Rattus norvegicus: one gene and its partners. The protein of the gene in region 1 purifies or fractionates together with the protein of each later gene. This does not show direct contact. Links are inferred from orthologs where the notes say so. Each region holds a gene or a part of one and is shown in the gene's direction. Other genes may lie near its edges. The genes, in order: Chd3, Bcl11b, Smarcc2, Kpna1, Mta2, Zfp219 and Sin3a.

Region 1 (3,500 bases):
GATCCCATTACAGATGGTCGTGAGCCACCATGTGGGTGCTGGGAATTGAACTTAGGACCTCTGGAAGAGCAGCCAGTTCTCTTAACTGCTGAGCCATCTCTCCAGCCCCAGAACCCTTTCTTAAGCCACAGTAAAAACAAATCATGCACCGAGAGCAATGGGCGTGAGTTGTGGGACTCTGAAAGCAGAGACTCATGCGAATGCCCCGGGTAGGAGTGTCGTTTTACACAGCAGTTTCGGTGCCCTGGATACACATGCTGAAGTTTAACACAACAGTTTAGTGCCCTACTTTCATCTCGGGCAAGTTACTTAATTTCGTAGGTGCTCGGTTTTCTTTTTTTTGTTTGTTTTTTTTTTTTTTTTTTGGTTCTTTTTTTTTTTCGGAGCTGGGGACCGAACCCAGGGCCTTGCGCTTCCTAGGCAAGCGCTCTGCCACTGAGCCAAATCCCCAACCCCGGTGCTCGGTTTTCTTACCTGTAAACTAGAAATGCATGCTTGGTAGGAGCCTGTGTGGGTTTGATGGGAGGCTGAATGCATAGCCCAGTGATGTTGCTACCTCGCCTCGGGGGTATTTGGTAACTGTCTTTGGAAATGTCTTACCTACACACCTGCTACATAGCCTGTTTGTCAGCACTGAGAATCATAGATATCCTAATAAGAGCTGACCACGCCCCCTAGAGGAAAACACGATGTCTGTGTCTTTCTAACTATCCTGAGGGAAACTGCCTTCAGGTTCCCATAACTGAATAAAACGCAGAAAATCAAGGCAAGCATGCCATTGTGAGGGTGGGACTTGACAGGATAGATTTTCCTCTTAACTTATTTTTACTTAGCTCATTACTTAAATTAATATTTTTCTTAATAGGACATATTTTTCCCACCCAGGAATGTTAGCATAGACTTAATTGATACAGGAGATGGCAGTATTCCCAGACCATCTGTGAAAAGTCTGAGTTTTCTGCTTCTATATTTTCAGGCCCTTAATTGCTAAGAAGAATCCTAAGATCCCGATGTCGAAGATGATGACCATCCTGGGGGCCAAGTGGAGAGAGTTCAGCGCCAATAACCCCTTCAAAGGGTCAGCAGCTGCTGTGGCGGCAGCGGCAGCGGCAGCAGCAGCAGCTGTAGCTGAGCAGGTGTCAGCTGCTGTCTCCTCAGCCACCCCCATAGCACCATCTGGACCCCCCCCTGCCCTTCCACCACCCCCTGCTCCTGAAATCCAGCCCCCACCCATCAGAAGAGCCAAAACCAAAGAGGGCAAAGGTAGGACCCTTCTTCTTCCGACCTCTGTACCCTGCTTTCCAAACTGCATGGCTTCATGACTCTATAACCCATGCTTTCCCACCATGGTTGCTGGGGAAGAAAATGCTTCCTGGGACGGGGAAAGTAACACCCAGCCTAGAGCTCCCTGTGGCTCCTATTCTAGCAGGAAGTGTCATGGCCTGTGGACCTTCTCCCCTCCACATTCCCACGCAGGTCCAGGCCACAAGAGGCGGGGTAAGAGCGCCCGAGCCCCCGATGGGCGCAAGAAGCTTCGAGGAAAGAAGATGGCACCACTCAAAATCAAGCTAGGGCTGCTGGGGGGCAGGAGGAGGAAGGCGGGCTCGGTAAGCAACCCTCCCCATCTGCTCAGCACCTGTCTGTCAAGGGCTGAATTCCATGGACAGTCCCTGAGGGGAGCTGGGGTGGGGACCCACAGTCTGGGGACGGTGCGTGGTGGTGGGTAGAACCCAGGATGCCTCACTCATGGCAGCGGGGCTCTGGGCAGTGTGTTTTTCAGGGTGATGAGGGCCCTGAACCAGAGGCTGAGGAGTCAGACCTGGACAGTGGTAGTGTTCATAGTGCCTCAGGCCGGCCTGATGGTCCTGTCCGTGCCAAGAAACTGAAGCGAGGCCGGCCAGGAAGGAAGAAGAAGAAGGGTGAGGAGGTCACCATGTGTGAGCCTCTCTGTGACTTATTCCTTTGTTGTTTTTCTTACTTCAGATATTGACCTCTATTCAAACCTTCTGTGTGTCTTTCCCTGAATCCCTTTCTTTTTTCTCTGTTCCCTCTGTCCTGACTGGGGTATGTGACAGTCCTGGGCTGTCCTACAGTGACCGGGGAGGAGGAAGTTGATGGCTATGAGACGGATCACCAGGATTACTGTGAGGTGTGCCAGCAGGGCGGGGAAATTATTCTGTGTGACACCTGCCCCCGTGCCTACCACCTCGTCTGCCTTGACCCTGAGCTTGATCGAGCTCCTGAGGGCAAATGGAGCTGCCCCCACTGTGTGAGTACCTGGTGCCTTCATGGTCCCACCTATCTCTTTCCTTCTTGCTTTCTGCTATGGTTTCCCAGGCCTCTCAGCACTACTCAGAGTCCAGAATCCTAATTGGGTCCTTTCCTTCAACCCCTTATTCCCAGAGTCACTAACTTTGGAAAGTCAGAGTATCTTGTTTGATAGGCTCCGTGAGACTTTTATACACGTCTAGGACTCAATCATCTTGGTTTTCCTGTCTCTCCTTCTCTTCTGTCTATGTCTGTCTGCGCCTGACCTCCTAGGAGAAGGAAGGGGTACAGTGGGAGGCCAAGGAAGAAGAGGAAGACTATGAGGAGGAAGGGGAGGAAGGAGAGAAGGAGGAAGAGGATGACCACATGGAGTACTGCCGAGTGTGCAAGGACGGCGGGGAGCTCCTGTGCTGTGACGCCTGCATCTCTTCCTACCACATCCACTGTCTGAACCCCCCACTGCCCGACATCCCCAATGGTGAATGGCTGTGCCCTCGATGCACGGTAAGTAGAACCTCATCCTCACAGCGCCCACCATCCAAGCGCCACCTTTCAGCCATTTCTGAGGCCGCGCAGCTCTTCCTTCCTTAGCCCCTACCCCTTGTCCTACCTAACACGGGGTTCTGTTCACCCCTTTCTTTCCTCTTTCTCTTACACGCCCATCCTGAAGTGTCCTGTGCTAAAGGGCCGTGTTCAGAAGATCTTGCACTGGCGATGGGGGGAGCCACCTGTGGCAGTGCCGGCCCCGCAGCAGGCAGACGGGGATCCAGACGCCCCACCCCCTCGTGTTCTTCAAGGCAGATCAGAGAGGGAGTTCTTTGTCAAGTGGGTGGGACTGTCCTACTGGCATTGCTCCTGGGCCAAGGAGCTTCAGGTACAAAGGCCTCTCCTTTCCCAGCACCTAAGATCCCACTCCCAGCCTCCTGCTCTCTCCTGGCCCTCCGTTCCCTAGGGATCCAGCTCCTTTGCCTTCTTTGGATTTAGAGGTCGTTTCTTCTCCCTTCCTCTGTGCCCCACCAGCTGGAAATCTTCCACTTGGTAATGTACCGAAACTATCAACGGAAAAATGACATGGACGAGCCCCCACCGCTGGACTATGGATCTGGTGAGGACGATGGGAAGAGTGATAAGCGGAAGGTGAAGGACCCGCACTACGCAGAGATGGAGGAGAAGTACTACCGTTTCGGCATCAAGCCAGAGTGGATGACTGTGCACCGCATTATTAACCATAG
Region 2 (3,500 bases), on another chromosome or scaffold:
TCATTAATCCGCTCGAGATCCTACAAGAAGCTGCGATGGTGCCTGCATCCTTCCCCCACATACCTGGATACATATGGGTCTGTTTGGACTGGCTTAGACTGCGAAAGGAAGCGTCTTTTAAAAGAAAGTGTGAAATTGTATGGTGCACATTGTTACTGTGCCCGTGTGTGCACGATGAACTGTGGCACACGGTGGCGCTCAGGACAATTTTGTGGGTTAGTCTCCCACCTCCTCCTTTATGTGGGTCCTGGGGATAAACCCTCAACTTCTGAACCATCTCACAGGCCCACATCTTCTGTTCATTCTGGGAACAGAAACCAAGTCCCCATGCCCACTAGGAAAGCACTCCCAATGATGAACCCCCATCTCAGAGGGCTTTTTAAAGAAGTGTTCTGAAGAGGCTTGTAGGGTGTCTTCCCTGCTGGAGCAGGCTCTGTGCTGTGAGGAGACCTGGTGAGGAGAGGAGAGACAGTCCCAGGTCTGGAAACAAATGACCGTTGTGAGTAAGGATGGTAGTGGCCACATTTACTAGGTGGCTGGCTCTGTCTGCGCAGTGCCCCGACAGACCCCTGGGGCTGGCATCTCTGTGAGCTACCTCAGGAGCTGTCTGTTTTAGCTCCAAGGCCAGCATCCCTTCCACTGGAAGGTGGAGGTTGGGAGGCACCGGCCGTCCTCACCTTGGATTCCCTTGTAAATGGAGATGTGCATATTGTGAAACTTTTAGTTCGTTCCATTTGGGGCTTTGGATTTATGTGCAATGTGGTGTAGCCGTCACTACTGTTTAATTGGTCACGCCCTCCGAAGACCACATAACCCATTAGTTCTCCACCGCCCCCAGCCCCTGGTAATTACTACTTGGTTTCCTGATATTTGGCTGCCCGGGAGCTCACGGTGGCGTTATAGCATGGTGGCTTTTCATTCAGCTTTTGGGGGAGCTGGATCCAGGTCCCACTGTGTGCAAAGCTCAGACGGAGGTCAGCGGTGCCTAGAAGGGGTTGCTATAGGGACCCCACACCCTCCTGCCCTTGGAGCAGTAGACATTAGTGAGGCTATCATACCTGATGAGGGCCTGTGGCCACCTGTCTAGCCAGTGTTACCACCTGGTATGGGTGTGTGGCTTCATCGTGACAGACTCTGGTTCAGCCCCAGGGACCTCCTTCCAGAAGGCTGTGGAGTCAACGCTATGCTATTTCCCTTTTGCTCCTTGGCCATTCTTTCTGTCAGCGTCGACTCTGAGGAGCTCCCGTGGGCATTCTCAGCCGTGATCCGTGGTGCTAGCTGAGTTATGGCCCTTTGTAGAGCCAGAAGCCTTTTCCTTTCACTAATGGATGGGCTGAGGTCCAGGCTTCTCTGTTTTCTTCCATCCCCATGTGGCCCTTGGCTTCAGGATACCGGGTACCCTGGTCACTTTACTCCAAAGCAACCATAGCGGTAGGAACGGGCTTTGCGCATGTCCCAGCGTGCTTTCTCTTGGGTCTCAGTTTCTCCCTGTGGAGTGGGAGGTGGTCCTCTCTGTTCCTAATGGTGCCTATCTTACCCTTGGTGCAAATTCACTGTGATGGCTTTCAGTGACCCTAACTCTCTGGTTTAAAAGGAAGACCCCCCCCACCCCCCACCCCCACACAGGGACTCACGGCCATTCGTGGACAGGGTCAAGTACAGTGTCTTGATGCAGAGGGCTTTGAGGCAAACACTGGCCTCCCATGGGAGCCAGGTAAGTCTGGCCTCAGATCGTACTTGCTTGAGGCCCATAGGAAAACTCTGGCTTTTTGCTCTTGGCCCTTTGGGGGTTATGTGCCAGGGCAGAGACAACTGTGCCTTGTACGAGTATGTCACTGCCTCAGCAGGGTCTGGCAGTGTCAATGCTGGGCGTAGGCCTCTTGGCTAGACATCTCAGTGCTCGAGCTCCAAGCTGGGCCCCTTCTCAAGTGCCCCAAGTACCTGGATCCTGTATTCACATGATCCTGTATTTACACGTAAGACATGGGATTTCGAGGAGGCTTGAAACTGCTGAGGTTGCCGATTCCTACAGTTCTGGCCTCTGTTGGGCTCTGTGCAATGGGCGTCCTACATCCTCATGTTCAGGGGCGTGGTAGAGACCCGATCTGGAGGCTCCCCGCTCTCCGAGGGCTTGTGTGGTTCTGTGGTGGCTACAGGGTAGGCAGATCCCACCTGTGCAGATCTGCAGGTGTCAGGAAGCGAAGCTCTGGCCTCCCTTGAAGAGCTGGTGAGGCTTAGCTGTCCAGGATCTTGTTGGTGTTTTGGGTTTGGTTTTCTTTCTTTTTTTTTTTCTCTCGTCTCTCTGATGCTTCTCTGCTCAATTATTTACTCAGGGAATTTGGGCTTCTTCACTTGTGGTTTTGGCAAGGGCTTCACACAAATGTTTTGCCCTGGTGGTCTCCTAACCAATGTAAGATAAATGGCCAAATCAAACCCAGGCCTTGCTGGCAGTGGAGGCTCCATGTGGGGCGGGGTGGAGGCAAGGCAGCACCCTCGCCGCCCCTGTTCATTGCTGTCACTGGCTGTCCGATGAGGGAGTGGGGACTCCCAGGGTGAAGACCATGGGCCATGCTAGGTTTTCTTGTGGTAAGGGAGGGAGGAGGAGCTCAGGGCACCTTGTGAGCTTCTGGGGCTTGGGTGCCACTTGTCAGAGTCCAGCAAGCCCCAGGCAGTCAGCTAGGCAGGAGGCTCATTAGCGCCCAGACTCTTGGAGGTAGACTTGAGGTGGCGCAGGCCTGTCCGGAGAACCTACACCGACATAGTTTCTTGCCTCTTTCAAGGAGGGGTGGCTCATATTTTGAGAGAACAAACCGCCAAGCGAAGCCCACTCCAGTTCGTTCTGAAAGACTCTTGTAGGGAACCTTTACTGGGAGTGGGGCCCTGACAGGCCTTCTATGCTAGGCTCCCTGCACTAGGGACCCCCAAGGCAGGCCCCCTCCAGAAACTATCTGGCAGCTGCAGGTGTAGTCCCTGCTTATAGCCTTTGTGCACCCCTTCTCCCTTGCCCCTGGACCGCAGTTGCCGCTGGTGTCCTCGGGACCGAACCCTCTCTGAGGCTGCCTTTCTGTAGCCCAGTGACCCTGGCCCCCTCTTGTGCCCCGAGCTCCTTGTACAGTCCAGGGCCCAACTGACCAGTGTTTTCTATTGTTTTTTCTCCAGGGCCGTGCAGGCCTGCCCAGCTGCCATCGATGGCCCCCATAGCTGCCTCCTCTTCCCACCCTCCCACCTCCGTGATTACTTCACCTCTGCGTGCCCTGGGCGTTCTCCCACCCTGTTTCCCGCTGCCTTGCTGTGGTGCACGCCCCATCTCGGGCGACGGGACTCAGGGTGAGGGTCAGATGGAGGCTCCCTTTGGATGCCAGTGTGAGTTGTCAGGTAACAGAGTCGCTGCGGTGGGGGAGGTGGGCTCCCGGGATGGCGGGCTGTGCCCCGGGCCGAGCCGGGGACCCAAGGTGGGAACCCAAGGGGGGGTGTGCCCCCCCCACTTAAAAAGCTTTTTT
Region 3 (3,500 bases), on another chromosome or scaffold:
TAAATTATACTGCCAAAACCTCACTTTAGGACCATTTTAAAACATATGCAAGGGCTGGAGGGATGGCTCAATGGTTAAGAGCACTGATTGCTGGTAGAGCACTTGCCTAGCAAGCGCAAGGCCCTGGGTTCGGTCCCCAGCTCCGAAAAAAAAAAAAAAAAAAAAAAAGAGCACTGATTGCTCTTCCAGAGGCCCTGAGTTCAGTTCCCAGCAACCACATGGTGGCTCACAACCATCTATCATGGGATCTGATGGCCTCTTCTGGTGAGTCTGAGGACAGCTACAGTGTAGTCATGTACATAAAATAAATAAATAAATCTTTAAAAAATGCAAACATTATGATTAAAAAAGGGAGTGGGGTGGGGACTAGACTGCTGGCTCAGTGGTTAGGAGCAATGGCTGCTTTTTCAGGTTTGCTTTCCAGTTCCACACAGTGGTTCACAACCGCCTAATTCCAGGACCCTTGCACCCAGCACCCTCTTTTGGCTTCTGCAGGCACTGCATGCAGATGGTGTACAAGCATACATTCTGACAAACACTCACACACAGAGAAATAACTCAAAAAAAATCAAAAAATAAAAATCTACCACGGTGGTAGCACACACCTTTTAACCCAGCACTTGGTGGGCAGAGGCAGGCAGATCTGAGTTCAGGGCCACCCTGTCTACATAGCAAATCCCAGAACAACCAGGACTGCACAGAGAAACCCTGAATCAAAAAAGAAAGAAAAAAAAAGGAAAAGAAAATGAAACTGTAAAAATGTTAAGACGACATTTTAAACAGAGCTGGGAGTCTGGAGAGGTGGCTGAGCAATCAGAGTGCTTGCTGTCCCCAGAGAGCCCTCTAGCTCCAGAGGACCTGGATCTGGTCCCCTCTTTTAGGCTCAGAATCTCCTCTGGACGGCAGGCACTGTTTGCTGACTGTGAGTCTGTCCAGTATGAGGAGTGCTCTTGAGGGGACTGCACTACAGTACTGGTTTGTAGTCTGTCCCCTGTCCGCCAGCCTCACATATCAAGAGATGTATGTGAGTGGGGTTGGGAAGCTGTTTTCTCCTGAGCATTGTGTATGAAATTAAGGGAGAAAAGTCTCCTCTGCTTTACAGCATTGAAAATTAGGCTAGGGGTGCAGCTTACAGTGAACACTGCCTAGCAGGTGTAGAGTCCTGCATTCTGTCCCCCAGCCTTTCAGACAGTTTTAAATCTTCTTTAAATATTTAGGCTAGACATGGTGACACATGATTTTAAATCCCAGCACTTAGAAGGCAGAGGCAGGAAGAACTCTGTAAGCTATTAGAGGCTAGTCTGGTCTACATCACAAGTTCCAGGACAGCCAGGTTCCATACAGAGACCTTGTATTCAACAATTAATTAATTAAGATCTGACTGGAAATGGTGGTAAACACCTTTAATCCCAGTACCCAGAAAGCAGAGGCAGGTGAATCTCTGTGAATGTAAGGCCAGCCTGGTCTACATAGTGAGTTTCAAGACAGCTGTTGATTGCTACATAGTGAGACTTTGTCTCAAGAAAACCCAAAACAACAATATTATTAATTAAGATCTACTCATTTAAGTAGGCCTGGTGTCATAGTATAGGCTATAATCTCAGTGATTGCATGACTGAGGCAGGAGGATGTAAATAGTACAGAATCTGCCTGGGCTTCAGAATGACTCCTGAGGCCGGTAGCATAACTCACAATAAGAAGGAAAGCCAAGTGTGCTGCCTCACACCTGCCGTCTGACTGCTGGCCCGGCCCTCGGCAGGCTGGCTGCTTCAGTCTGTGTCTCTTCTTCTTAAAAGATACTAAGTAAAGAAGTAAATAAGGGGGTGGGCATTCAGCTCAGTGGTAGAGCACTTGCCTAGCAAGCGCAAGGCCCTGGGTTCGGTCACCAGCTCCAAAAAAAAAAAAAAAAAAAAAGTAAATAAATTTTAGTTATGGATGTATTTCATGTAAAATGATGTTTATCTGCCTGTAAGATTTGTTAGCATTGGATTCCATGAAACTACACTTACAGATGGTTGTGAGCCACCATATGGTTGCTGTGAATTGAACTCAGGACCTCTGGAAGAACAGCCAGTGCTTTTAACCTCTCAACCTTCTCTCTAGCTTGAGACTGTTTGAAAAAGGCAAAACCAAAATAAAGAGTTTAGGAAGGGAAGACCAGAAGAAAGTGCTGGGAGCCTGGCTTGGTGGGGTACTCACCTGTAAGCTCAGCAGCTCTCAGGAGCAGGTGCAGAGAGCCAGGCCGCTCTTCGTAAGTTAAGAGGCCTGGAACACATGAGACCCCCAAGCCCCAAAAGAAGGCTTGGTGCTGGGACTGTGACTCTGGTAGACACTTAGACGTATGTGCGTGAGGCCTGGGTTCAGTTGCCAGGAGTAACCAAGGGCTGGTATCTGACTACTTACCTGGTATGAGCTCATCCTTCAATTAGAAGACTGTACAGGGAAACAGATAGGGGACAGAGCAGCCAGAAAAGAATGGCCCTTAGGATGCTGAGGCTGGGGAGTCATGGAACTGCACACACAGATGAGAAAGCTAAAGGAAGCCATTGGTTGCATAAGGCAGTAAAATAGAAAACATGTTTGAAAGTTTTTTTGAGAAAGCAAGATATGTGAAACTATTAACAGCTGAGAAGTGAGAGCTTGATTTTGGCCAACATGTCTAATGCAGTGGCTTTTTCTCCCGACAGTCAACACTAAAAAGGACTCCGAGTCAGCACCAGTCAAAGGCGGCACCATGACTGACCTGGGTGAGACAGGGAGGGAGACCTTAGCAGGCAGTGCCTGAGGCATGGAGCGCTCAGCCTACCTTCCCCCAGCCCTCTGCCTTTGCTGACCCTGTGCTCCTTCCTGCCTGACACTCGGCTTCTTCCCTTTCCAGATGAACAGGACGACGAAAGCATGGAGACCACGGGCAAGGTGCAGCTGGTTTAGACAGGCTGTCTCTGTGTGTCTCTGTGATGTGTTTACAGGGCTCCACCTCTCCTTCTGCCCAGCCTCCCCACCCCCGGCCTAGGTGCCCATCCTCATCTCCCTCCCCGCTTCGGTGGCATCCTGTTCCTGGCTACCGGAGGAGCTGAGGGTTGCTAGGGGATGGGAATGCTGAGTATCCAGCAGCCTCCATACTTCTAGGATGAGGACGAGAACAGCACCGGCAACAAAGGGGAGCAGACCAAGAGCGCGGACCTGCACGAGGACAACGTGACAGAGCAGACACACCACATCATCGTCCCCAGCTATGCTGCCTGGTTTGACTACAACAGGTGCTACCCTACGCACCCTCCTCCTCCCCTTGCTGATCAGTGGGCTGTTTCTCCTGTTGCCCCACAGCCAAGAGCTGCTAACTACCCACCCCTGGGGCCTTGTGAACCATTGTGATTTATCCTGCAGTGTCCATGCCATTGAGCGGAGGGCTCTTCCTGAGTTCTTCAACGGCAAGAACAAGTCCAAGACTCCAGAGATGTAAGATTTCAGTTTATGATTTTCTTTTCTTAATCTTTTTT
Region 4 (3,500 bases), on another chromosome or scaffold:
TATACACACCCACCTCATTCTGCAGACCCTGCACATTCTCATTCTGTGCAGGCAACAGAACCAGATCCGCTCGCTCCAACTGCTCGTCCAGCTGCTTCTTAGCCATGTCTTTCACACACTGTCCTCTTTAGCCTGGTAAAATCAAAGTTCCAGAAACTTGCAGGTTAACAATTATGTTTACATGTTAAATTGTCAATTCATAATTCATCCACACAGTAAATTCAGTGCCAATTGATAAAGATATAAACTACCTACCTAGACAAGATAAAATCCATCTAATTCACCTAAATCTGAACCATCCTCCATGGTAGACTCCATCTTGGTCTCTTCTCCCCCCACCCCTCCTCCTCCTCTCTCCTTCCTAGACTTTTCTCCACCAACCTGTCCTTCTCATCCAGCGATAGGCTGGATCTGCCTTGCTGTGTAATGACATCATCCTACACACCACTACTACTAGATTCTTTTCTTTTTGTAAATGAAAGAACACTTTTAGCTGTAAGTTTTATTGTTTTAGTTGATACATTGAATAGGAAATGCATGGCTTTGTTTTAACTTTTATTCATATTAGTGAAGAAATTTTCTATTTTAGGTTTTTCTTTTTAATTTATTTAACTATGATAAATTATTTGTTGTACTTTTTTTGCATCTGTTTTGTGTTTCTGTGTGCGTGTGTTGGTGTGATATCTGTATATGTCACATGGTAGTGAGAGGAGAATGTAATGAGAGTCTGTTTTTTCCTACTATATGGGTCATTGAGACTGAATTCAGGTCATCGGGCCGATTGCCAGCAAATGCACTTACTCTCTGGACTGTATGGCCAGTCCATGTTACAAATAGTTTTTCATCTGATATGGTATACATTTTAATTTTAGGATTTTTGACATGTAGCAGTTTTTCTTAGATAAATGTTAATTTTTTTGCCTGTCATTTTAATGTCTGTGTGTCTGAAAAGGCTTTTAGCACCTCCAGACCGGCCTGAAATGTGCTGATTTGTTTTGTTTTTCCTGGCGATTTTGTGGGTAGGGTTTTTATTTTTATTTTTTAAAAAAGAATGTGTTCCATCCATTTGGGCTATTTTACTTGTGTAGTAAGTAAAACCATTAAATTACCAGTTATTTTCTATTTCTTTATAAATACTTGCCTCTTTCTGGAATAGAGCCTATTCAGTTGTACAGTGATGGATTCTTGAACTCTTCACCTACCTACCATTTTAATGATTTTATCTGTTTTAGTTTCTGATATAATCTGATTCCTTTGCTTTTGAAAGCTGTTTTAAGGTATTGGCTTTTTGTTTAGGTTTGCTTTGGTTTTTAACTCTTAGTATCCTGTAGACTTCAGTTTGTATTGGATTATTGAGTATAAGGTAGAAAGATTCCAGAGGTCAAACCCTCTTCAACCTCTAGAAAGTCAGCCCCAAAGGGTTAGAATATCATTATTTAGCACCAAAGGCCTCAGCAAAGTTTCCCTACCCCTTTTCTTTTCAGTAGAGACAGTGTTTTACAATGTTTCCCTTGCTGGCCCTATTATAATAATTCTCTCTATACTGGGTTTAAACCCAGTAGAAATCCAACTCTGTCTTCCAAGTGCTAGGATTATTATAGTATGTGTCAACACACCTGGCCCCTATTTTTTAGTTGTTTTAGAAAAGACTTAATTCATTCTATTCTGTGTGCTTTGTGTGCACATATGTATGTGTACTATATGTAAGCTTGGTTCCTCTGAGGACCAGAAAGGAAAGCATCAGATCTCTGGAACTGGACTTGTGCCTGGTTATAAACCACAATTGAGGCTGGGTCCTCTCTGCAAGAGCAACAAGTACTCTAACTGTTGAGCCCTTTCTTTAGTGCCTCTTAGAGTTTTTAAATACATCATTGTAGATGTATTATATTGTATTTTGTTTTATTTCTTTTTAGTTTTTTGCTTATTTCTTGGAGAGCCAGTTGACTATAAAGATCAAGTTATCCTCAAATTCAAGATCTTCCTATGTTTACCTCCCAAGTGCTTGGTTACCATTGTGTGTTCCACCACAAATGTCCTGGTGGTTGTGAATGTATACAATGAAACCAGTTTAATAATCTTAGAATGTATTTCAGGCTAGTACTGATTTTTTTATTGGGTTGGTAATTTGGCTCAAATGATAAAGGCCACCAAGCCTACTGACCTGAGCGTGATTCCTCGGACCCATGATGGAAGGAGAGAATCAACTGCTTCAAACTTTTCTCTGATTTTCATATGTACTGTGGTTTACCCAAGTCTGTATACATACATGAGTAAATGCAAGTTAAAGATACTTTATGTATTATATAAAGTTACCTTTTAAAATTTTAGAGGAGGGTTTCTCTCCTCCTACATGTTTCTTAAAACGAGTTTGTTGAATTAAAGATGTACTTATTAACTCCTGGGGAAGTAGATACTGGAAGATCTGGGATTTCAAGATCTTCTTACATTAGGCATTGAGTTTGAGGCCACTCTGCTACATAGGACCCTGTCTCAAGAAACAAAAAAATACAACAAAAATCCAAAACCAAATGATATATTGAGAACGATGCCATAATTAAAACTTAAAGGGGTTGGGGATTTAGCTCAGTGGCCTGGGTTCGGTCCCCAGCTACGAAAACAAAAACAAAACAAAAAAAAATTTAAGACTCTTTTTTTTTTTCCCCCTTTTAGGTAATTTTGAATTGCTCAGCTCTTCAGAGTTTATTGCATCTGCTGAGTAGCCCAAAGGAATCTATCAAAAAAGAAGCATGTTGGACAATCTCTAATATTACAGCTGGAAATAGGGCACAGATCCAGGTAATGCTGTCGTACCCTCCCTTCTCTCCCTGTGTGAAAGGTGCATTGTCAAGATATTCTATTTACTTTTATGTGTGTATGTGCTTGCCTTAACGTATGTGCATCATGTGCATGTGATGCTGTTGGGGACCAGAAGTGGGGATTGCATCTCCCAAAACTGGAATTACAGTCAGTTTTAAGCCATCTGTGGGTGCTAGAAACTGAACTTAGATCCTATGAAAGAGTAGTAACAGCTGAGCCATCCTTCCAGCCTCTTTTTTTTTTTAAATCTTTAATTATAAGTAAAATTGTTTTGGTCAGCCTTTAATATACAGACTGTAAGCATTTCCCGTAGAACTGTCAACCTCCAGTGTTACTTTTTCAGTCTGATTTTTCTGTATCCTGATGATAGTCTTTTGTCTTTTGATATTTTTGCTTAGCCATACATTTCCTCTTTAATTTATGGAAGATCCAAAAAAAGTATTTATGTTTTCAAAATGGTTTTTTTTTTTTTTTTTTTACTTTTCTATTTTTCAGAGCTGGGGACCGAAGCAAGCGCTCTACCACTGAGCTAAATCCCCAGCCCTTCAAAATGTTTTGATGAACTAACTATATGCTATAGATTGACTTTACTTCTTACTAAATTACATTTTCCAATGAACCCATGTGTTAGGTTGATTTAAAGTTTTTATTGACTATTAATGGCCTTTTATAACCTTAGCTGG
Region 5 (3,112 bases), on another chromosome or scaffold:
GACTTCTTCCATGGAGACTGTCAAATGGGCAGGAGCACTTGCTAAGTATTGGGACGCCAGGAAGGTCGGCAGGGGTTTCAGTGAAGAGGTCAGGTAGGAAGTTTGCTGTCTGCAGGTGATGGAGGACAGAGCTGCAGTGTTGATTTGCCTTTTCTCTTCTTTATGTATCATTCCTCCAGGAGCCACACTCAAGAGGTCATTTATCCAGACCTGAAGCCCAAAGTCTCTCCCCCTATACAACCAGTGCTAACCGGGCTAAGTTGCTGGCTAAGAACAGGCAAACTTTCTTGCTCCAGACCACAAAGCTGACTCGTCTTGCTAGACGGATGTGCAGAGACCTGTTACAGCCAAGGAGGGCTGCCCGAAGACCCTATGCCCCCATCAATGCCAACGCCATCAAGGCAGAGTGTAAGGACTGCGTGCTAGTGCAGAGGCTTTGATCTGCCATGTCTGATGGTGTATGCTTAGAACATAAGCCCTCAGGCTGAGACAGGATATAGCTACCTCAGTCCCTGTTAGACCAGGCTATGTAATGGCTCCGGCCTAGCCTGGATTAAATAGTAGGACCCAATCTTAAGAAACAAGGCTAGGCATTGTTACACATGCCGGTAACCAAGCAGTGGAGAAGTGGAGTCAGCAGGATGATAAGCAAGTTCTAGGCTGGGACTTCACTGCAGAACCATTTCAAAAACCCAAAACAAAGCTGCAGAATGCCCAGAGGCTCTTCTCTCTTCTCCAGGCTCTATCCGACTTCCTAAGGCTGCCAAGACACCGTTGAAGATTCACCCCCTGGCGAGACTGCCCTTGGCAGCTATTGTCAAAGATCTGGGTAGGAGATGGGAACTACACTCAATCCAGGGTGGGTGGAAGGTTGCCAGCTAAGAGTCTTTTCTTCCTCAGAGTTTTCCTTTCACACTGAGTCCACATAAACTGTGTGTGTGTGTGTGTGTGTGTGTGTGTGTTCTCTTATTATGGTGCTTCTTGTGATAATTGGTTTTTGGTGGTGGTGCTGTAGATCAAAACCCAGAACCTCATGTATTCTGGTCAAGTATTTACCATTGAGCTCCATCTCTGGCATAGTAGTGGCTTTACATAAGTATTTTCTGATCTGAAACATGTTTTTTAAAATTTGATTAAGTAGCTTGATAGACCTTTTTCTCCATTACTAATCTTTAGGCCATTAGGGTAAACAACTGGTCAGGGTAGAGAGGGAAGAAAGAATGGTAATGAGAAGGTCTTGTTCTATTTCATCTCCCTTCTTCCTCTGCTGATAGTGGCTCAGGCACCTCTGAAACCAAAAACACCTCGGGGCACCAAGACACCAATCAACAGAAACCAGCTGACCCAGAATCGAGGCCTGGGGGGCATTATGGTGAAACGTTCCTATGAGACTGTGAGTGACAGTGGACTGGGAAGGCTGAATGGGGTGGGCTTTTATTTCTAGTAGGAGTCTAAGGAAGGTAGCTCCTTCATGTACACCATGTCCTTTTCCAGATGGCAGGGGCAGGGGTTCCCTTCTCTGCCAATGGAAGGCCTCTGGCTTCAGGGATTCGTTCAAGCTCACAGCCAGCAGCCAAGCGTCAGAAACTAAACCCTGCTGATGCTCCCAATCCAGTGGTATTTGTGGCCACAAAGGATACCAGGTAGGGAGGGAGTCCACCATGGGAGGGGCTGAGAGGCTGACGATCAAGTTGGCGGGCATTGGAAGTTGTAGGAGTGTCTGAGAAAGAGAGGTGCACAGCAGAATGAGGCGAGGGTAGAACTGTAGAGTGCATTGTGGAGTTTTATCTGGTTGAGTCTTGCTGCTCCTCAAGCCTCCCTGTTTCTGTCTTGCTCTTTTTGGCCAGGGCTTTAAGGAAAGCTCTAACTCACCTGGAAATGCGCCGAGCTGCTCGAAGGCCCAACTTACCCCTGAAGGTGAAGACAGCGCTGATGACAGTGCGGCCCCCAGTTCCTCTGCCGGCATCTTCACATCCTGCTAGCACCAATGAGCCCATTGTCCTGGAGGATTGAGCATCTTAGGGGAAGGGAGGTGGGATGAGAGGTAAAGGGTTGGTTGCCCAGGGCATACAAATCTTCATTCCTTTTGGTATCAAAGGGAGTAAGGAGTGAGGGAGGGTTGGAGTTGGTGTGCGTGTGTCCTTGCAGGGGTTGAACACCCTCTGGTGTTACTGCCAGTATCTCCCCTTTTTGGGCTTCTCCATGCCTGTGATGGAAAACAGCCTATAGGAACTTACTTGTGTGTACCTACCCTATTTGGGGCCTGGGACCCACAGTGGGTTTGGACAGTTGGGGGGAGGGTTTTTTAATTTTTTTAAAAATTTACCTTCCTTTGTAAAAGGATGGAGGAAGGGAAGAGTAAACATATCAGGTGTTGGTCCCTGGCAGGGGGAAGGGGGAGTACACTGCCATGTCTCTTTTCTTTATTTTCTATTGGGGATGGGGGGGTTACTCTTACTGTCCGGTGTCCGGACTTTCCTTATTGGAGTTTGAGGGCCCTAAGCTGGCATCAACCCCAGCCCATGCTCACTCTTCTTCCCTCCCCTTTCTCCCTCTGCCTTTTATATGCCAATTCTCAGAAATAAAGATCTTTTGTCTGTTTTTTAACCTCAGATTCTGTAATTGGTTCTTATAGTGACGAATAAAAAGCTCTTTTCTTCAGCTCCTCCAGGCTCAGCTGTTTTCTGCTGCTGCTGTGTGTGTGTGTGTGTGTGTGTGTGTGTGTGTGTGTGTGTGTGTGTGTGTGAGAGAGAGAGAGAGAGAGAGAGAGAGTGTGTGTGTGTGTGTGTGAGAGAGTGTGTGTGTTGTGAGAGTGTGTGTGTGTGTTGGGGGTATCTTTGAGGGGAAATAGAGGACAAAGGACATTGAAAGAGGTACAGATGGTGCTTGTTCTAGGAACAGCTTTACGAGATAAGCAGTGGGACTGGAGGTAGTCTGTGCCAGCTAGCCTTCTTGTGGGACTAAAGCTTCTCCCATTGGGGCTGGAGTGCAAGCAGTATCTTGATCTGGATTCATTCAAAGCTCTCTAATGGCTCTGAGTCTCCACAGAAAGGTGTGAGAATGTCTTCCTGTTACCCACTTCTCCCTTTTGATGCTGGGGAGTTGATCCCAG
Region 6 (4,009 bases), on another chromosome or scaffold:
TTGAGTCCTCTTTGTTTTTCTTAGTAACCCATTTCAGTTTCATAAATCTCATTGTAAGGAAGTTCTTTATCGAGTATTATGTCTGAGGTTTAAAAAAAAGAAGCTAGGCCCAAGTTCATCTAGCCTGAACAAGATACAGTTCAATATGGAAGAAGGAAGGTAGATAGGATGACTTCTGGTCATCCATCCACTGAAGCCTGAATTCCATGACCTTGCCAGCAGTTAAACAGCGGGAAAACCTCCATTACCATCCTCTTCCTCAACTCTCTTCTTCTCAGCCCTGTGCAGCGCTGGTCGGGGACAGGGAATTTTAGATGGAGAATTTTAACCCCTTCCTGCTCAGAGCTTGTGTGGATCCCCTATCTGTGCAGATGGCAAGGCCCCGCCCCCCATCCCTCACTCCAGCCTCTTGAGCTCAGAGCCAGTGTAATCCTCCTCTTGTGTGAGGAAGCCTCTCCCCTGCAGAGAGGAGGAAAGCCAGCTTCGGAACAGCTCTGGACAAAGGGGCTGAGATGCCCCGTCAAACCACAGGCTCCAAGGTTTGAAACGGGGTGAAACCTAAATGGGATTTGCAGTTTTTAACCCCTTCCCTAGGCCGGTAGTGCTCCTTAACTTCCAGGCCTCCCCCAACTCTTCATTCCCTCTGTAGCTGGCTCTCCCTTCATGCCCCTCCCCCTCTGTCTCCAGACTCTGCTGCTGGGAGGTGTTTCTCTCCCATGCATGAATGAGTCTCTGTAATGAATGGAAATGAATGGATCAGGAATCCAGGAAGGGGGAGGGGGAGGAGGAAAGACCAGAAGACTGGGTGCCGGCAGAAGCGAGGAGGAGGAACCTGGAGGGATTCTGGCTGGCTGGCCCTGGGTCTGAGAGGAGCTAGTACCGTTTGGATAACAGGAGTATGGCTAGCTCTCCACATTTGTTTATCCAGGGGCACAGCCCAACGCGAGTGGAAGAGGGGTATACTATGATGCCCTCCCACATTGTGTGTGTGTGTGTGTGTGTGTGCGTGTGCGTGTGCGTGTGTGTGTGTGTGTGTGTGTGTGTGTGTGTTTGTAGTGATGGTGGTTCTGGACTAGGTGTTGAAAACATCATTTGGGGGAGGAAGTCTGGATTCATCATACAAGTTGGCAGATCAAGGGATGCAAGTTTTGATATAGCAAGTAGGAAGCATGTGATACCTCAGGATCACAGTAGAAAGCAGGGATGGGCTTCAAGAATACAGGCTGCTAAGTGGGGTGACTTTACTGCTGAAAGCCAGGGCTCATCGTTCCTCCAATCACTCTGTCTTGTTTTAGCACCTCCGCACCTGTTGCCTTCATTAGCAGCTTTTCTTCCTCCTCCTTCCAATCCTCAGAACCAAAGAATGTGAAGGGGGTCCATGGAGGTGAGTGAAGTTCTTCCTTGACCTGCAAAGTACCTCCAACGGTACACCCTCTCCTGCCTCCTATTTTTTTTAAACTTCCTATTATTGTAACACACGTTATTATTATTAATTTGGCCCCAGTGTCTAACTTCCACTCATCCCACAGTTTCTGGAGGTGAGAGGCACCAGTGTACCTAGGTCCGGCCTCAACCTCCTAACTTACATACACACTCTTCTGTTCTTCGTGCCCTTGATGCCTTTGCGTTTTCTACAAGTCGGTCCTTTCCACCCTTTCCACCCTGTCCTCTACGTGCCTCTTTCCCCACAGGGCTCACGTCCCCGCATCCTGGTCGGCCACCTAGAGCCTTCCCCACCAGCCTTCGACGGCGAGCTGGATCTTCAGCGCTACTCCAACGGACCAGGTGTCAGCGGGACCCCAGGACCCGGCTCTCCTGGGATGGGAGCAGTGGGCTGGTCTGAGACTCGTGCAGGCGAACGGCGCTTCCCCTGTCCTGTGTGCGGAAAGCGCTTCCGATTCAATTCTATCCTGGCATTGCACCTGAGAGCCCATCCGGGCGCCCAAGCCTTCCAGTGCCCACATTGCGGCCACCGCGCAGCTCAGCGGGCCCTGCTACGCTCTCATCTCCGAACGCACCAGCCGGAGCGTCCACGCAGTCCTGCTGCACGGCTGTTGCTGGAGTTGGAGGAACGCGCCCTGCTTCGTGAAGCCCGACTCGGGAGAGCCAGAAGCTCAGGGGGCATGCAGTCCAGCCCTGCCGCAGAGGGCCTGGCGCGCCCTCAGGTTCCTTCCTCATCTGCCTTCCGTTGTCCTTTCTGCAAAGGCAAGTTTCGCACCTCGGCGGAGCGGGAACGCCACCTGCATATCCTGCACAGGCCCTGGAAGTGCAGCTTGTGCAGTTTTGGCTCCAGCCAGGAGGAGGAGTTGCTGCACCACAGTCTGACGGCCCACGGGGCTTCCGAGCGCCCCCTGGCGGCTACTGCTACACCTGAACCCCAGCCTCCACCCCAGCAAGAACCCAGATCTGCCCTTGAGCCTGAGCCTGAGCCTGAACCTAGGCCAGAGCCTGAACGTGAGGCAAACCCTGCCCCAACTCCTGCGCCTCCGGAGGAGCCCCCCGCGCCACCTGAGTTCCGTTGCCAGGTGTGTGGCCAGAGCTTTACACAGTCCTGGTTTCTCAAGGGTCACATGCGCAAGCACAAGGCCTCCTTTGATCATGCGTGCCCCGTATGTGGTCGCTGCTTCAAGGAGCCCTGGTTCCTTAAGAACCACATGAAGGTGCACACCAGCAAGCTGGGTCCTTTGCGTGCTCCAGGCCCCGGCTCTGCGCCTGCCAGGGCCCCTCAGCCTCCTGACCTGAGCCTTCTGGCTTATGAGCCACTGGGTCCTGCGCTCCTCCTGGCCCCAGCACCCACTCCGGCTGAGCGCCGAGAGCCCCCGAGCCTCTTAGGCTACCTGAGTGTACGAGCTGGGGAAGTACGACCCAATGGTGAGGGTGCTGACCCTGGAGGTGGCCGAAGCTATGGAGGATTCCGCCCACTGCCTTCAGCTCTGCCCAACCGGGCCCGGCGACACCGTACAGAGGAACCAGAGGAGGAAGAAGAAGTGGTGGAAGCGGAAGAGGAGAGCTGGGCCCGAGGCAGGTCACTGGGCTCTCTGACTTCCCTACATCCCAACCCGGGTGAGGGGTCAGGACAGTCTGCACCTGCTGTGGGGGCCCAGGCAAGATCTACGGCCACCCAAGGTATGTACACACTATTTTCTCTGGGGATCGGTGGCATTTGATTCTTGAAACTTTGTCCAACACTCCTTTTCAGAAGACCTGCTTCGATTTCTCCTGAGCTTCTATCCTCCATCCCCGACCCCGCACCTCTCTTTCTCCTACTGGAAACTTTGTGGTTTCCTAAGGGTATTATCTCTTTAACAGATCTGTTTCCCCAAACCTCCTTCCTCTTGGGCCCAAAGGATGGTGGGTATAATGGCCGGGACAAGGCAGGGAGACCCTATAACTTCCTTTTATCGTGTTGCAGAAGAAAACGGGCTGCTGGTTGGAGGGACACGATCTGAAGCGGGCCGTGGGGCCACTGGCAAGGACTGCCCCTTCTGTGGGAAATCTTTCCGCTCGGCGCATCACCTCAAAGTGCATCTTCGCGTGCACACAGGTGAGGCCAGGCATTCTGCATAGGGGAGGGTCTAGGGGGAAGAGAGGTAAGAGCAACCAGAAGGCTGGAGGCCATGCTGGCCCCCTTTCAGGTTGGAAAGATCATCTAAATCACCTCGTGGGGAGTCAGCATTTACTCCTGGTCCTTGGGATGAAGTTTGTAAATTGAGCAAAATACCAGTGTAGGTGTGCGAGTGACAGTGACCCCATGACCTACTCTAACCCACTCTTCACAGGAGAGCGTCCCTACAAGTGTCCACACTGCGACTATGCAGGTACCCAGTCGGGCTCGCTCAAGTATCACCTTCAGCGTCACCACCGTGAGCAGAGGAGCAGTGCGGGTCCTGGGCCTCCCCCAGAGCCCCCGCCACCTTCCCAGCGGGGCTCACTGCAGCCGCAGTCAGGAGCCAAGCCCACTCAGGCCTCTGCTACCTGGGTAGAGGGCACTGCAAGTACCCGGCCTACT
Region 7 (3,500 bases), on another chromosome or scaffold:
GTACAGGTGCTCAGGGAGGCCAAAGAGTTTGGATTCCCTGGCATTGGAGTTAGAGATGCTCCTGAGTTGCCTAATGGTTGATATGAACTAACTCAGGTCCTCTGCAAGGGCAGTATGCACTTTCAATTACCAAGCCATCTCTCCAGCCCCCGAAGTCTAATTTCTTGACTTATTTCTCAGTGATGTTGCAGTACAATTAACACAAGTACTTGACATAGATTATAGATTGTACAAGTACTGAGTGAATGGCGTGTGTAAGTCATACATGAGGTTGCAGTGTACATATCGCATGGCCTGTTTTCACTTAGTATGTTTTCAGCTGACAATGAGCACTGGTTTTTATAGTTGTTCAGTTCCCACAGCATGGATGTAGCTCAGTTGGCCAGAGCCTAGCACTCAGCTTTTCCTACTCTGCTGTAGCAGCTAGACTTGGCAGGAGTGTAGGTCAGAGACCTAGGAGTGGATTGGGTAAATTAAAGAGAGTGCACATTTTAAATTTTCATAGACTACCTGACAACAAAATATCCTATGCTTTTGTTTTGGTTTGGTTTGGTTTGGTTCTTTTGAGACAGGGTTTCTTTGTACAGCTCAGGCTGGCCTCAAACTTACAGAACTCTGCCTCCATGTACTGGGATTAAAGGCCTGAGCCTTCACCAGCCGACTTAAAACTCTTATCTTTTAAGAACTTCTAAGCCAATGAGATGGCTCAACAAGTAAAGCTCTTTCTCACACAGGCCTGACAACCTGAGTTCAATCTGAATCCAAGTGAAAAGCAGGGCAGGGTAGTGTGTGTTTGTGGTCCTAGAACTCCTGAAAGATAGGAGCTGGAGACAGGATAGTCTCCTGGAAGCTCATAAACCAGCCAGCCTACTGTAAGCTTTGATGCAGCAAAACCGTACCTTAGTGAGGTGGAATACAAGAACTTAGCCCCAATGTACTTGAGTCATGATGCCCTTGAACCAGAGTGACAGTCTGGGTGTGAGCTACCATGTGTATGCTGAGAATTGAGCCCTAGTTCTTTAGAAGAGCAGCCGGTGCTCTTAACCACCAAGCTAAGCCATCTCTCCAAAACCATTACAGATAGTTGTGAGCCACCAGATGGTTGCTGGGAATTGAACTCAGGACCTCTGGAAGAGCAGACAGTACTCTTAACCACTGAACCATCTCTCAAGCCCCTTTACCTTTTTTTTTTTTTCCTGGAGCTGGGGACCAAACCCAGGGCCTTGCGCATGCTAGGCAAGCGCTCTACCACTGAGCTAAATCCCCAACCCCTACCTTTTTTTTAAAATAACATTTTCCTATAAACTGGCTTATGGAATAGCATTTGAACATTACAAAATCACATAAAACGGGACTAAAGCTATAAAATTTCAATTGAGAGTTTGGTTAGAATACAGTGCCTAATAAATGTTCTAATTTTTTCATGGTCCTGTGCTGTGTTCTTCATGTATATTTGATTTATCATTTATAAAAACTGGTTTCTTATTAGAGATTAATCTTAGAAGATTAACATGGGTTTCATTTGTTTTGTGTTTTTGAGATGGGAATTCTTTCTCTGTGTGGCCTGTCTGTCCTGGAACTCATTCTGTAGACCAGGCTGGCTTCATATCAAAACTCAGATCTGCCTGCTTCTGCCTCCTGAGTTCTGGACTTAACGGGACTCCCACTGCCTGATTACATCTAGGTTTTAAACCACTAAAAATTAAATCTAGAAGCAGCAGTCAAAAGTTAAGGACTTTGTAGGCCATCCCTTTATAAGACCTGGTTTCTCATTCCAAAATAGAGATACTATATGTGTATGATGAGTTTGTGTGTGTTGGAGGCTGTGTTGACATTTGCACATAAGTGTGGCTTCTGCAGAAGCTAGATCTCCTGTAGGAGAGGTTTCAGGGAGTTGTAACATAAGAGGTGTGGGTGTTGAGATTGGAACTTTAGCTTTCATGGTTGAGCAGTAAGCACTTGATCACTGAAGCATCTCTCCGACCCCTTTGTATTTATATAGTTCTTCTGTATACAAACAAGCATAAGTATGTATGTGTACCAGGGCAAGCGTGTGAATGTCAGAGGACAGTTACAGCTGCCTCCTCTTCTCCATGATGTTAATTTCAGGGATTGAACTCAGGCTGTCAAACTTGGCAGCAAGCACCTTTACTCACTAAGCAGTATTGCTTCCAAATATTCCTTCTTCGCTGCGCTGTATTATGTTTGGGTTAATGATGCTGATGCTGGAAATGCTTACAAAAAAACCTCAAGTGGGTTTCTGAGTAAAGTGGTGCTAAACTGTGTATTCTTTCAAGAGAATGTCTCCTGTTACGCTGAAGAGACTTCTTGTATGTAAAGGATGTGAGAAAGGTCCAGAAGGAAACTTGGAAGTCATCTATTCTCTCTTTCTCTCATCTGTTCTCTCATTCTCATTTTTAGTTCAAGGTTCTAAAAATTACATGAAATAAACTTTTTAAAATGTACATTTTCTTTAAGGTAACCTCATGCTCCTGGCATATCTTACCTCTCTATGACAGTTTCAGGTTGTTATGACAATAGGTATTTATGAACTTAAACTACCTAATAACTAGCCCCACTTTGTTCACTATAGCAAGCATCCTCTGACCCAGTACTGAGTTTTCAGAGTGCTTTTGCAGCATGTGAGTATGTAACCAGTATTAACTCTAACAGTGTCTCAGGAGCTACCTTACACTGCTGTTATACTTCTGTGAAGAAACACTATGAGCAGGGCAACTTGGAGAGGAAAGACATCTTTTGAACTGGGACTTACTTAGAGTTCATGGGGTTAGTCCATTGAGGTCATGGCCAGGAGTACAGAAGCAGGGACAGTGCCGAATAGTAGTTGAGAGCTTAAATGTTGAGACAACCAAGAGGCTGAGAGAGAAGGGGGTTAAGGGGCTAACTGGGAATGGTGTGGACTTTTTGAAATTCCGTGACACTATCCAACAAGGCCACACCTAATTCTTCCTAAACAGTCCCTCAACTAGGAACCAAACATTCAAATATATGACCTAGGGAGCCATTGTCATTGAAACCATCACAGAATACTATAACTAGAATAGGAGAGTTTAAAGTTGTTTGCATTTTTTAATTGTAGGATTTTTTTCAACTTAGTGTTACCAAATTGATTACAATTCTGTTCCTTAACCTTCTGTCTTTCAGTTCTAACTTGTTCACTGTAAGGTGTGGGTCATTCATTCAGAGCTTGACTCTAAGATGAGGTAGCTTAGTTCCGAAAGTCAGACTTAGATTAAATTTGGGCAACTGGTCCTAAGTTATGAACATCATCCTGGAATGAAATTTTATTTATGTTATCATTTTGTGGTTTGTACAGGTTTGTAGTGCATCTCTGAGCATGAGTGCAGAATGAAGCGACGTTTGGATGACCAGGAATCACCAGTGTATGCAGCCCAGCAGCGAAGGATTCCTGGAAGCACAGAGGCTTTTTCTCACCAGCACCGGGTTCTTGCCCCGGCCCCTCCTGTGTATGAAGCAGT

What was found.
Region 2: the proteins of Chd3 (region 1) and Bcl11b purify together in Homo sapiens (affinity purification with mass spectrometry; 3 studies listed by BioGRID and IntAct, with this or other methods). This does not show direct contact. The link is inferred for Rattus norvegicus from reciprocal best matches to the Homo sapiens genes CHD3 and BCL11B.
Region 3: the proteins of Chd3 (region 1) and Smarcc2 fractionate together in Homo sapiens (co-fractionation; 3 studies listed by BioGRID, with this or other methods). This does not show direct contact. The link is inferred for Rattus norvegicus from reciprocal best matches to the Homo sapiens genes CHD3 and SMARCC2.
Region 4: the proteins of Chd3 (region 1) and Kpna1 purify together in Homo sapiens (affinity purification with mass spectrometry; 3 studies listed by BioGRID and IntAct, with this or other methods). This does not show direct contact. The link is inferred for Rattus norvegicus from reciprocal best matches to the Homo sapiens genes CHD3 and KPNA1.
Region 5: the proteins of Chd3 (region 1) and Mta2 purify together in Homo sapiens (affinity purification with mass spectrometry; 8 studies listed by BioGRID and IntAct, with this or other methods). This does not show direct contact. The link is inferred for Rattus norvegicus from reciprocal best matches to the Homo sapiens genes CHD3 and MTA2.
Region 6: the proteins of Chd3 (region 1) and Zfp219 purify together in Homo sapiens (affinity purification with mass spectrometry; 3 studies listed by BioGRID and IntAct, counting the BioPlex papers as one, with this or other methods). This does not show direct contact. The link is inferred for Rattus norvegicus from reciprocal best matches to the Homo sapiens genes CHD3 and ZNF219.
Region 7: the proteins of Chd3 (region 1) and Sin3a purify together in Homo sapiens (affinity purification with western blotting; 3 studies listed by BioGRID, with this or other methods). This does not show direct contact. The link is inferred for Rattus norvegicus from reciprocal best matches to the Homo sapiens genes CHD3 and SIN3A.

Annotation. Positions count from the first base shown.
Region 1 is NC_086028.1:54,578,811-54,582,310, reverse strand, and holds part of Chd3 (chromodomain-helicase-DNA-binding protein 3), read left to right. Parts: intron 1-976; coding exon 977-1,263; intron 1,264-1,476; coding exon 1,477-1,607; intron 1,608-1,768; coding exon 1,769-1,919; coding exon of another isoform or gene 1,920-1,937; intron 1,938-2,075; coding exon 2,076-2,269; intron 2,270-2,541; coding exon 2,542-2,772; intron 2,773-2,938; coding exon 2,939-3,142; intron 3,143-3,288; coding exon 3,289-3,500.
Region 2 is NC_086024.1:132,653,103-132,656,602, reverse strand, and holds part of Bcl11b (B-cell lymphoma/leukemia 11B), read left to right. Parts: intron 1-3,159; coding exon 3,160-3,363; coding exon of another isoform or gene 3,364-3,375; intron 3,376-3,500. UniProt on the Homo sapiens protein: Key regulator of both differentiation and survival of T-lymphocytes during thymocyte development in mammals.
Region 3 is NC_086025.1:1,476,503-1,480,002, forward strand, and holds part of Smarcc2 (SWI/SNF related, matrix associated, actin dependent regulator of chromatin, subfamily c, member 2), read left to right. Parts: intron 1-2,687; coding exon 2,688-2,747; intron 2,748-2,878; coding exon 2,879-2,916; intron 2,917-3,129; coding exon 3,130-3,260; intron 3,261-3,387; coding exon 3,388-3,459; intron 3,460-3,500. UniProt on the Homo sapiens protein: Involved in transcriptional activation and repression of select genes by chromatin remodeling (alteration of DNA-nucleosome topology).
Region 4 is NC_086029.1:78,231,632-78,235,131, reverse strand, and holds part of Kpna1 (importin subunit alpha-5), read left to right. Parts: intron 1-2,670; coding exon 2,671-2,796; intron 2,797-3,500. UniProt on the Homo sapiens protein: Functions in nuclear protein import as an adapter protein for nuclear receptor KPNB1. Binds specifically and directly to substrates containing either a simple or bipartite NLS motif.
Region 5 is NC_086019.1:215,273,397-215,276,508, forward strand, and holds the end of Mta2 (metastasis-associated protein MTA2), read left to right. Parts: intron 1-179; coding exon 180-408; intron 409-739; coding exon 740-829; intron 830-1,274; coding exon 1,275-1,393; intron 1,394-1,494; coding exon 1,495-1,643; intron 1,644-1,847; coding exon 1,848-2,013; 3' UTR 2,014-2,612; downstream 2,613-3,112. UniProt on the Homo sapiens protein: May function as a transcriptional coregulator. Acts as a component of the histone deacetylase NuRD complex which participates in the remodeling of chromatin.
Region 6 is NC_086033.1:27,170,169-27,174,177, reverse strand, and holds the start of Zfp219 (zinc finger protein 219), read left to right. Parts: upstream 1-1,209; 5' UTR 1,210-1,378; coding exon 1,379-1,384; intron 1,385-1,691; coding exon 1,692-3,126; intron 3,127-3,412; coding exon 3,413-3,544; intron 3,545-3,779; coding exon 3,780-4,009. UniProt on the Homo sapiens protein: Transcriptional regulator. Recognizes and binds 2 copies of the core DNA sequence motif 5'-GGGGG-3'. Binds to the HMGN1 promoter and may repress HMGN1 expression. Regulates SNCA expression in primary cortical neurons.
Region 7 is NC_086026.1:66,388,283-66,391,782, forward strand, and holds part of Sin3a (paired amphipathic helix protein Sin3a), read left to right. Parts: intron 1-3,337; 5' UTR 3,338-3,369; coding exon 3,370-3,500. UniProt on the Homo sapiens protein: Acts as a transcriptional repressor. Corepressor for REST. Interacts with MXI1 to repress MYC responsive genes and antagonize MYC oncogenic activities. Also interacts with MXD1-MAX heterodimers to repress transcription by tethering SIN3A to DNA.